Regions from separate parts of the Mus musculus genome. Here region 1 is reported to be linked to region 2. The links are microRNA targets in miRTarBase. Many come from high-throughput screens and were not tested one by one. Region 2 holds a microRNA gene; the other region holds the end of a gene's coding sequence.

What was found. The annotated mature microRNA mmu-miR-3065-5p reads UCAACAAAAUCACUGAUGCUGG and lies in region 2 at 2,779-2,800, opposite strand. An mRNA with a match to its seed (bases 2 to 7 or 8) in the 3' UTR can be bound and repressed. Matches are read on the target gene's strand: a 7mer-m8 pairs with bases 2 to 8, a 7mer-A1 pairs with bases 2 to 7 and ends in A, and an 8mer does both.
Region 1: the mRNA of Fam126b is a reported target of mmu-miR-3065-5p. Seed matches in the 3' UTR shown: 7mer-m8 at 2,920-2,926, 7mer-m8 at 2,377-2,383, 7mer-m8 at 1,312-1,318 and 7mer-m8 at 686-692.

Annotation. Positions count from the first base shown.
Region 1 is chr1:58,525,899-58,530,355 of GRCm38, forward strand. It overlaps Fam126b (family with sequence similarity 126, member B), which reads right to left. Exons shown (of 13, transcript NM_001310598.1): 13 at 1-4,361. The coding sequence ends at 3,760. The region is part of intron 2 of Gm15834 (a long non-coding RNA gene); the gene reads left to right. Among named protein-coding and RNA genes, the nearest start is that of Gm15834, 23 kb to the left of the region's middle.
Region 2 is chr11:120,013,580-120,017,579 of GRCm38, reverse strand. Mir3065 (microRNA 3065) reads right to left here and starts at 2,813; the gene lies at 2,727-2,813. It overlaps Aatk (apoptosis-associated tyrosine kinase), which reads left to right. Exons shown (of 14, transcript NM_001198785.1): 4 at 773-852; 5 at 1,149-1,267; 6 at 1,387-1,474; 7 at 1,988-2,121; 8 at 3,846-3,930. It overlaps Mir338 (microRNA 338), which reads left to right and starts at 2,718; the gene lies at 2,718-2,815.

The DNA of each region.
Region 1 (4,457 bases), not on the chromosome of region 2:
CACTCACTATTCTTCTTTTTCAGTAACGTAGAGGAATATTGCTCTTATCTACTCTAAGCCGAGTAAGGAACAATTTCTCTCTAGATGAAAAATGAATGGAATTGAGTTTATCTTTACTCTGCAATCTTCTACAGTGTACCTTTGATGACTGAAAACTGGCTGATTAAAGATCACTTTCAAATAGTTAGAAACACTGATCAAGGAAATTTCATTGGGTTTATTTTGCATCTAAACAAATCCCCCAAAATACAAATAACATGGCAGCATATAACTGTTATGTGGTAGAAAATTCACAAGGCATAAATTAGAAAAGAATAATGTGCTATACAGACACCTACATTTTGAACACATCCCCATCTGTATTAATTATTTTACTTTTTTTTTCCTTCTGGAATTAATACTTTTCTTAATGTGTTCACCAGCTACTAGACCAGAAACATAAAGAAATAGCAGAAATGGAAGTGTTTCATATCACATTTACTAAAGTATGGATAACCAGAGGCAATGAGGCATCAATATGCACGTGACTAGAGACAAGGTTTGATTATGGCCCTGCTTCTTAGTCATGGGCCTTATTTCACATCCTCCTTTGAGCCTCAGTGTCCTGAGGATGCAATGTGTGTGTATGGCAGAGAGAAGAGCCAAATTATCTCTAGGGTCTCTTCTAGCACAGAAACCTGATCTGCAACAAACAGGCACAGCACAGTGGGCTGCGAAAAAAGGGGCATTGGCAAAGGACCAAGATTTTAAATGACAACTCTTCCCTCCCTAGCTTGTAAGTTAACTTTTTACTTTATATTTTAGCTTTCTTACCAGTAAAACTAACTGAAAGTCATATAGAAAAACTCCTAAAACCTTCAGATACTGTAGTCCTTAATCTAACCTAGTACAGATGGCATCAATATAAGACAAATATTTTCCCCTAAATGCTTTTTTTCTACTAGTGCGATGAAGCTTCATGAAAGCTGAGAAATATTAAAGGGAAGTTATTAAAGGTTAAATTATGGACATTTCTAACTTTCTATGACATTTTTAACAGCTGCTGTATAACTGAACAAAAACCATTTTAAATTCAATGATGGTAACATAAAGTGGTTGAAATGATCATTAGAAAACTTGGTAGTTTGTCTAATTTTAATTCATTTCATTTTAACTGTTATCTTACACAGAAAATGTATTCTAAGACCCTTGCTATAAAGTGTAAATGAAGAACTTGTTCATTGAGACCAAATTATAGCCCAAAGAATATGAAGCAAATGTTTCAGGATTGTGAAATATTACTTGGGATGTATATACAAAGTCTACACATGCCAACAAAAAGATGAAAAAAACCTTTTTTTTTTTTTTTTTTTCTTTTCTGAGACAGGCCTTCTCTGTGTAGCCCTGGCTGTCCTAGAACTCCATCTGTAGACCAGGCCAGCCTTGAACTCAGAGATTCACCTGCTTCTGCCTCTGGAGTGCTGGGATTCAAGGTGTATGCCACCATTCCTGATTCTTAAACCAACTCTTCAGTTATGATGTTTCTAATCAAAAGATTTTTTCTCATATTTACAACAGTTTATGCTATACTTTCAAGTTATTTGGTATTCTCTTGTGCTTTATTTAAAATGCTTGGTTTAAATGCCAGTCTGTTACATGTGCGCCTGTGAGCTCCAGCATGAAGTAGGCGTGCTTTGCCATCTAAGACTGATACCTTCCTTATGCACCACAAAGCCTCTCTGTTCAGTAGGTTACAAAAACATTTTATTTTACTATTTTACAATTCTTTTTTCTTTTAAGTTTACTTGATATCTCTTAGTTAAATTAGTAGAAATAGGGCTAAAATGTGTCTGTGATAAATGGATACACATATCATACGCATATTATAAACAATCAATAGATCACATTTCAGCTTTTAGTTTTACTCCAAAGTTTGGCAATGATGTGGATAATAGCTGAGGTTCTAGTTCCCTATTTGCTGGGAGCTGAAAAATGTTATAAACTATCAAATCTAATTAAGGATTATTCTAACACAATGCAGACAGACAGATGGACAGATAGACAACTCCTCCAAAAATGGTGGTTTATGTATGAAAAAAAAAAGAGAGGCGTTTTCCTGGCTATTTAATTTATCAAATTTTACGGTAAATAGAGATAAAACAACTTTGTCAATTAAGAGGACACTTGCTTCCTATATAGGCAGTGTAATTTTCATTCACAATACATAAAATGTCTACATGTACAAGGGTGTGTGTAACTGATGTTCTTGAGATGGGTAATTCATAGCAATTGAAGTCACACAATACTGATTTTTAAAATCCTAATATATTCCCTTCTTTTTCAAACAAAGCCTGAGACCCAGAAGAGATTATAAGAAAGTCTTATCCAACCAAATCACAACAAAAATCCTTTAAACTAATAATGCATTTTTGTAGCCTCTTAGCAGTTACCAAATGCTACTCATTTACATTCAACATCTAGTTTACTGGCATGATTTCAACGTTTTATAAAAACGAGAAACTTTGCAGATAATCAGAAGATACACAAACTGCAATAAACACAAAGGCAGTGTGGTCCTTGTAGAGCAATCAAGTCAGTACCCTCTGGTAGAAATGTTCTATACAAATGTGTCACATAGAAGCATCAGTGTTTTCAACCAATCACCTGTCCCTGATGTGTTTCCTTGGAGTATATGATCTCAGGACTTTAGGTTTCTGTATCCCATATCTGACTGAATCTAGGTACATCTAGGAAGCAGCTGAAAGGGTTTCTCTAGTCTGATATCTCAGAGAGTGGACTGAGAAATCCCTCTCTTTACCTGAAGACGTACAGTGTCTACTTCAGTCATCACCAACTCACAAAGGAAAGGAAGAAAGAAAACAATTATAACTTCACCTCATTTACAATCTCACACAAACTAAACAAACAACACCCTTCCCCCAACAAAGCCCCAGCACCATAATATCAATCATTCCTGGGAAATAGAACACGCCCCTTTGAGTCTCTGATTTGTTAGTTCAAACTTTAAGGGCAGAAATGTCCTTAAGTCCTTGTGGGAGGAGGGAAGACCTGTTGTTAATGACTAGAGAGCCATTGAGAAAGTGCATTATCAATCACACAATCAACTTAGAGCCCTACCCTCCAATGGAGGTGGTCACAAATTGATTTAAATGCCTCAATAATTAAACATTTGTGTCCTTGGGATAAAGTAAGGGGGGCAGTTAGCCTCATTTTAATAAAAAAATTGCAGTAGTCTACCACTTTCCCCCATGCTTCCCAAGAATATAAAATTGCACAGGCTCAGAGAAGCCCAAAGTCATAGCAGAATCTCTGAGGCACTCCTGGTTAGAGAGAAAACATATGATCCAGTTATCTTCATAGTTCATAGATTATGTGAACAAACCCGTTTTGTTTTTAAACAAAAGCCAAAGAATCATTTCATAGGGATCTTATACACCATTTCCTCGACATCTCCTCAGTCTCACAGTGTTGAAATGGGACCGATCAGCCTACGATGGATTGCACATCACCCAAGGAGAAAGGAAGGCATGGAAAAGGCAAACGTTTTACACTGCTTCACAAACACATTTAAGGGAATAGGTAGAGAGGTTAAAAGAAAGGAAAGGAAAACCTTATTGCTGTTTCCATACAAAATACAGTATGAGATACCTAAGCTAAGTCAAATCTGATGACAGTGACATCTTTTCACAATGCGGGATGACGTGTCTTGCACAATGAAATGTTCAGTGTAGAAGGTTAGCAGAACAAGGGGCATCAGAACTACACCTGGGATATTAGCTGCATATTGAAACTTGGGGATCGAGACTGCTTGGTTAAGGGGGCTCCTGGGCTGAGGAGCTCTTTACCTTCACCAGCGTGACCTAGCCGGTCTTCTTGTAGACTGATAGTTGAATATCGATTAGCATTTGTAGCTGCTAGATTAGTAACTCCCTCAGTGCCAACCCCAATGCTGGTACTTGCTTGACCGCCATTTACATAGTCAAAAGATTTACTTGAGGAAGCACTGGCTGTCCGGATTAGACTCAGACTATTGGTTTTTGGCACCACCTGGCCTGCAGGCAGGCTCAAGTGTTTCTTCATCGGTGTCAGCTCAACTGAATCTATGCTGAGATCTGCTTGTTGTTGTACAAACTGCTTTCCAACTACTGAATCTCGAGGGCTCTCATTGGATTTGATGGCTAATGCTGTTTCTTTGTCTTTGGCGGAACGCCCAGTTGCTACTTTCCGCAAGCTTCCCCGCTGAGAAGAGGAGGGTGGTTTGGTCCCATGTGGTTGGCTGCTAAGAGAAGCCCCTGATGAAAATCCTTCATCTGCATCATTCATGTTTAAGGACTCCTCTCCGCCATTTAGACCCTCAGCACCTAAAAAATAAATCAGACAGATTATAGCTACATTAAATAAAAAAGCAGCTGTGAATACGCTGACCTAATCTCATGTTAAATGTTTGCTATGATCTC
Region 2 (4,000 bases):
CTGGGACAACTGAGGTCCTAGAGACCCCAGGGTTTCCACCAGGCATTTAGACAGATTAGGTTCAGGGTGTAAGTCTTGGGGGCACAGTGCCCGGTGAGACTCTTCCATGAGCTGGGCACCAAGCAGACTTAGTCCCCGAGGGCTGCCATCTTCCCTTGGGCGTCCCAGCAGCCCTGACCCCGGCCTTCTGGGCTATCAGCGTGGGAGCAGAATTCAGAGAATCCGAGGGGGCATGAGTGGGTGCAGTGAGCCCTGGCCCTTTCCTCTGCCCACGCTGACCCTTCTTCTCCTCTGACTTCACTCTGCCTGTCTCACAGGGAGAATGGAGCCAGTGTGTCCCGTACAGGGCTGTGCCAAGCAGCCCCCAACAAAGGCGGCTTTGCTGTGGTGGGGGTTTGAATGCCAGCCTGTGGCAGGGGTAGGGGGTTGGTTGCTCTGCTGTCCTCCCAGGCCTCGGCACCAGCTTCCTGCCTCATCCAAACGCCTTTCCAGGCCCTGCTGTTTGGGCTTGGCTTCTCCCTGTGGCTCTGCTCTGGGCATCCCCAGGCTTTGCCTGGATGGAGACTTGAGGTCCATAGCTCTGCTGACAGCAGCCACCCCAGAGCCTAAGAGACACTGGCCCTCGATGACAGCGCTCAAACCTGGCCTCCACTTTATTGAAGCTTCTTTGGCTGGGGAGCTTGGGAAAGCTCTCTGGGCTCTGGAGAGCGTGGTCGGGAAGATGGAGAGGGAGCGGTGGCTAAGCTGTGTCTGGATTTCTGTTCCACTCTAGTGCAACTTCTCAAGTCCACGGACCTGGGCCGGCACAGCCTCCTGTACTTAAAGGAGATTGGCCACGGCTGGTTTGGGAAGGTAAGCATGCCCCGGGGTGGCAGGAATGGCAAAGGGTGGACCCACTACTCCTGGGGATCCCCTAGGGAGGGGCTCTTTCTAACACCCGCCCCAGACTGGACCATGTACCTGATTCCTTTTTCCTCATTGTAGTCCCCAGGCAGTGAGAAAAGTAGGAGCCTTGTGGGTGGACTGGGGCTGAGGGTTCTAGCCAGAGCTTGGTGAGAAGTTGTATGACCATCTGAGGCCCTGGGCGCTAGATGGCTTTTCCTATGGAGACTGAAAGGGGACCTGGTGATGCCTGTCACATTTGGCAGGTGTTTTTGGGGGAGGTACACTCGGGCGTCAGTGGCACGCAGGTGGTGGTGAAGGAGCTGAAGGTGAGCGCCAGCGTGCAGGAGCAGATGCAGTTCCTGGAGGAGGCGCAGCCCTACAGGTGGGTGGTGTGGCGGGGGCGGGGTGGGGCCGGGCAGGGGAGCAGCACAGTGGGAGAAACTGAGGGCTATGGGACACCCTCTCCTGCCCTCCAACTTAAACACCCGTGGACTCTTCCAGGGCCCTGCAGCACAGCAACCTGCTCCAGTGCCTGGCCCAGTGTGCTGAAGTGACCCCCTACCTGCTGGTTATGGAGTTCTGTCCACTGGTAAGTGGTCCTCTCGGGGAGGTAGCTCTGTCTCTCCCGGTCCTGTTCTGTAGCTCATTGTTCCAAAGGGGAGTGGCTCCTCTCTTGCTCAGCCTCTTGGGGTCTTTTGTTATTTCTAAAGTAGAGTCCTGGTAGTCCTTGCTCTCCCTCAGAGGAGGTCTGCGGAGAGAAAGTGAGCCAGCAGCAGCAGGGGCAACACTGTGGGGTCTTGGATAGTTCAGCGAGAGGTGTCCTGGGACAGCCACAGGGCTCCCGAAGCTCCTGGGGCAGAGCCTGAGTTCTGGGTCTTCGTGTTGCCCCTTGGGCCCTTTACATGCACAGCTCTGGTGGCTGCTTATATGGAGGTCACTGTGCCAGAATTGAGACACAGGCTTTGCTGAAACAGCAGTGAACACTAGGGTTCACAGCTGATCCACAGGCCACCAGACCCAGGTTCTCTTGGTGTGGGTGGCAGACTTGTGATGGGCTGGTCGCTGCAGCTAGCAGGTGACTGTGTGCTCTCTCGTCCATCAGGGGGACCTCAAAGGTTATCTACGGAGCTGCCGGGTGACAGAGTCCATGGCGCCTGACCCACTTACCTTGCAGCGCATGGCGTGCGAGGTGGCGTGTGGCGTCTTGCATCTACATCGACACAACTATGTACACAGGTGAGGGCTAGCGAGACTAGCCAGGCTACAGCTACAAAGCCCCACTCCCCCAGGGCCTTAACCCTCACCATCACACGACCCTGTGCAGAAAAGTCACGGTGATCCCACGTTGTGGGCCTCATGAACTGGGTTCATCTAAAAATAGCCACTCTGCAGGGAACTTTATCATTCTTAGAACTGGGAAAACTAACTGGGCATGGTGGCTCACGCCTTTAATTGCAGCGCTTGGGAGGCAGAGGTAGGAGAATCTCTGTGAGTTCAAGTCCTGCTAGGTCTACCTAATGAACTCCAGAATAGCCAGGACTATGTAGCAGGACCATCTCAAAATGAAATAAATTGTGAAGACTTGGCATTTGAAACTCACCTTGCAGACAGTTAAATGAAGAAACCCATCCTGTCTACTAGAGCAGTCAGCCATACTTGGGCTCCATACCAACCCCAGCCTCTTTCCCTCAGGCCACAAAGGGAGTGGCTGGGCTGGCCCTGTAGTGGGAGGGGTGGCTCTCTCCTGCCTCTGGTGGCCAGGATGCCCAGCCTCCCATGAGCTGGGGGCACATGCTGGAAGAAGTGGCAACGGACAAGCGGCCCACCAGCTCCAACGCTGCACAGGCCGTCCTCCCCAACAATATCCTGGTGCTGAGTGGGTGCACAGTGACTCCAGCATCAGTGATTTTGTTGAAGAGGGCAGCTGCCAGCCTCCTGCCCTGCCTGCTGCCTAGCCCAGCTGCCCCACCCATAGGCATGGACCCAGGTCACCCCACCCTGTCCCCTGACACAGTCCTCCTGGGGTAGAGGCAGGCCAAGGTGGCCCCATCTACATCCAGAGATCTCTCAGCAGAACAGCCAGTATGGCAGATGAGGGTGCGTCCCGTGGCACTCTATTGTCCTGTACCCCAAACACCTGGGGGTGGGGCGCTATAGCCAAGCAAGAGTTATACAGAGCCTGGCATTCCAGGCTTCCCACTGAGTTGGTGATTTTTATCCTCCACACAAAGGGGCCTTTGTGGTCCATACTGTTCTAGACCTCGGCTCCAGCTTGTGTAGCAGGCCAGGCAGGGCTGCACTCTAGAACATGGGCTCTGACTGCTGGCAGGACCCTCTGAGACACTCCGGGCTTCGGTTTCTCCATCAGTTCTTACCTCCTGGGGACTGGGATGGTGGAGTGTAGTCGGAAGGGTGAGGGTCCTGAGAGGACACTGCAGACTCTCTGCTCCATGGCTTGTTGGCCCTTGTTGGGCAGATCAGACAGAGGGTGGAGCGGGTTAGGGCTCTGGTGCAGTTAGACAGCACTTTGCTGGGGGGGGGGGGTCGTCCTTGAGCATCTTTTGCCTGATTTTCACATGCATTGAAGTGCATTGAAAACCGGGCTTGGTGGCGCAAGCCTTTAATCCCAGCACTTGGGAGGCAGAGTCAGGAGGATTTCTGAGTTCGAGGCCAGCCTGGTCTACAAAATGAGTTCCAGGACAGCCAGGGCTACACAGAGAAACCCTGTCTGGAAAAAAAAGAAAAAAAAGAAGAAGAAGAAGTATTAGAAATGCATTGAAGTCCACACAGGTCTTCCAAAATAGCCAGTACAGGGTGTGGAGCCAGAACTTGGGCACAAGTGGGTGGCCCCTCAGACACCCCTTCCTGTCGGTCTGCCTGGCTGTGCCCGGGAGCCCAACCATTCCACCAGGGCTCACTCAGGCTGGCACACTCTGCTGACATTGCCTTCCACTCCGCAGTGACCTGGCCCTGAGGAACTGCCTGCTTACGGCTGACCTGACAGTGAAGGTTGGTGATTATGGCCTGTCGCATTGCAAATACAGGGTGAGTAAGGCCGTCAGGGCCCGTGTGCAGGGGCAGCTGCTGAGCGGAGCTCACTCCCATCCTGTCCCTG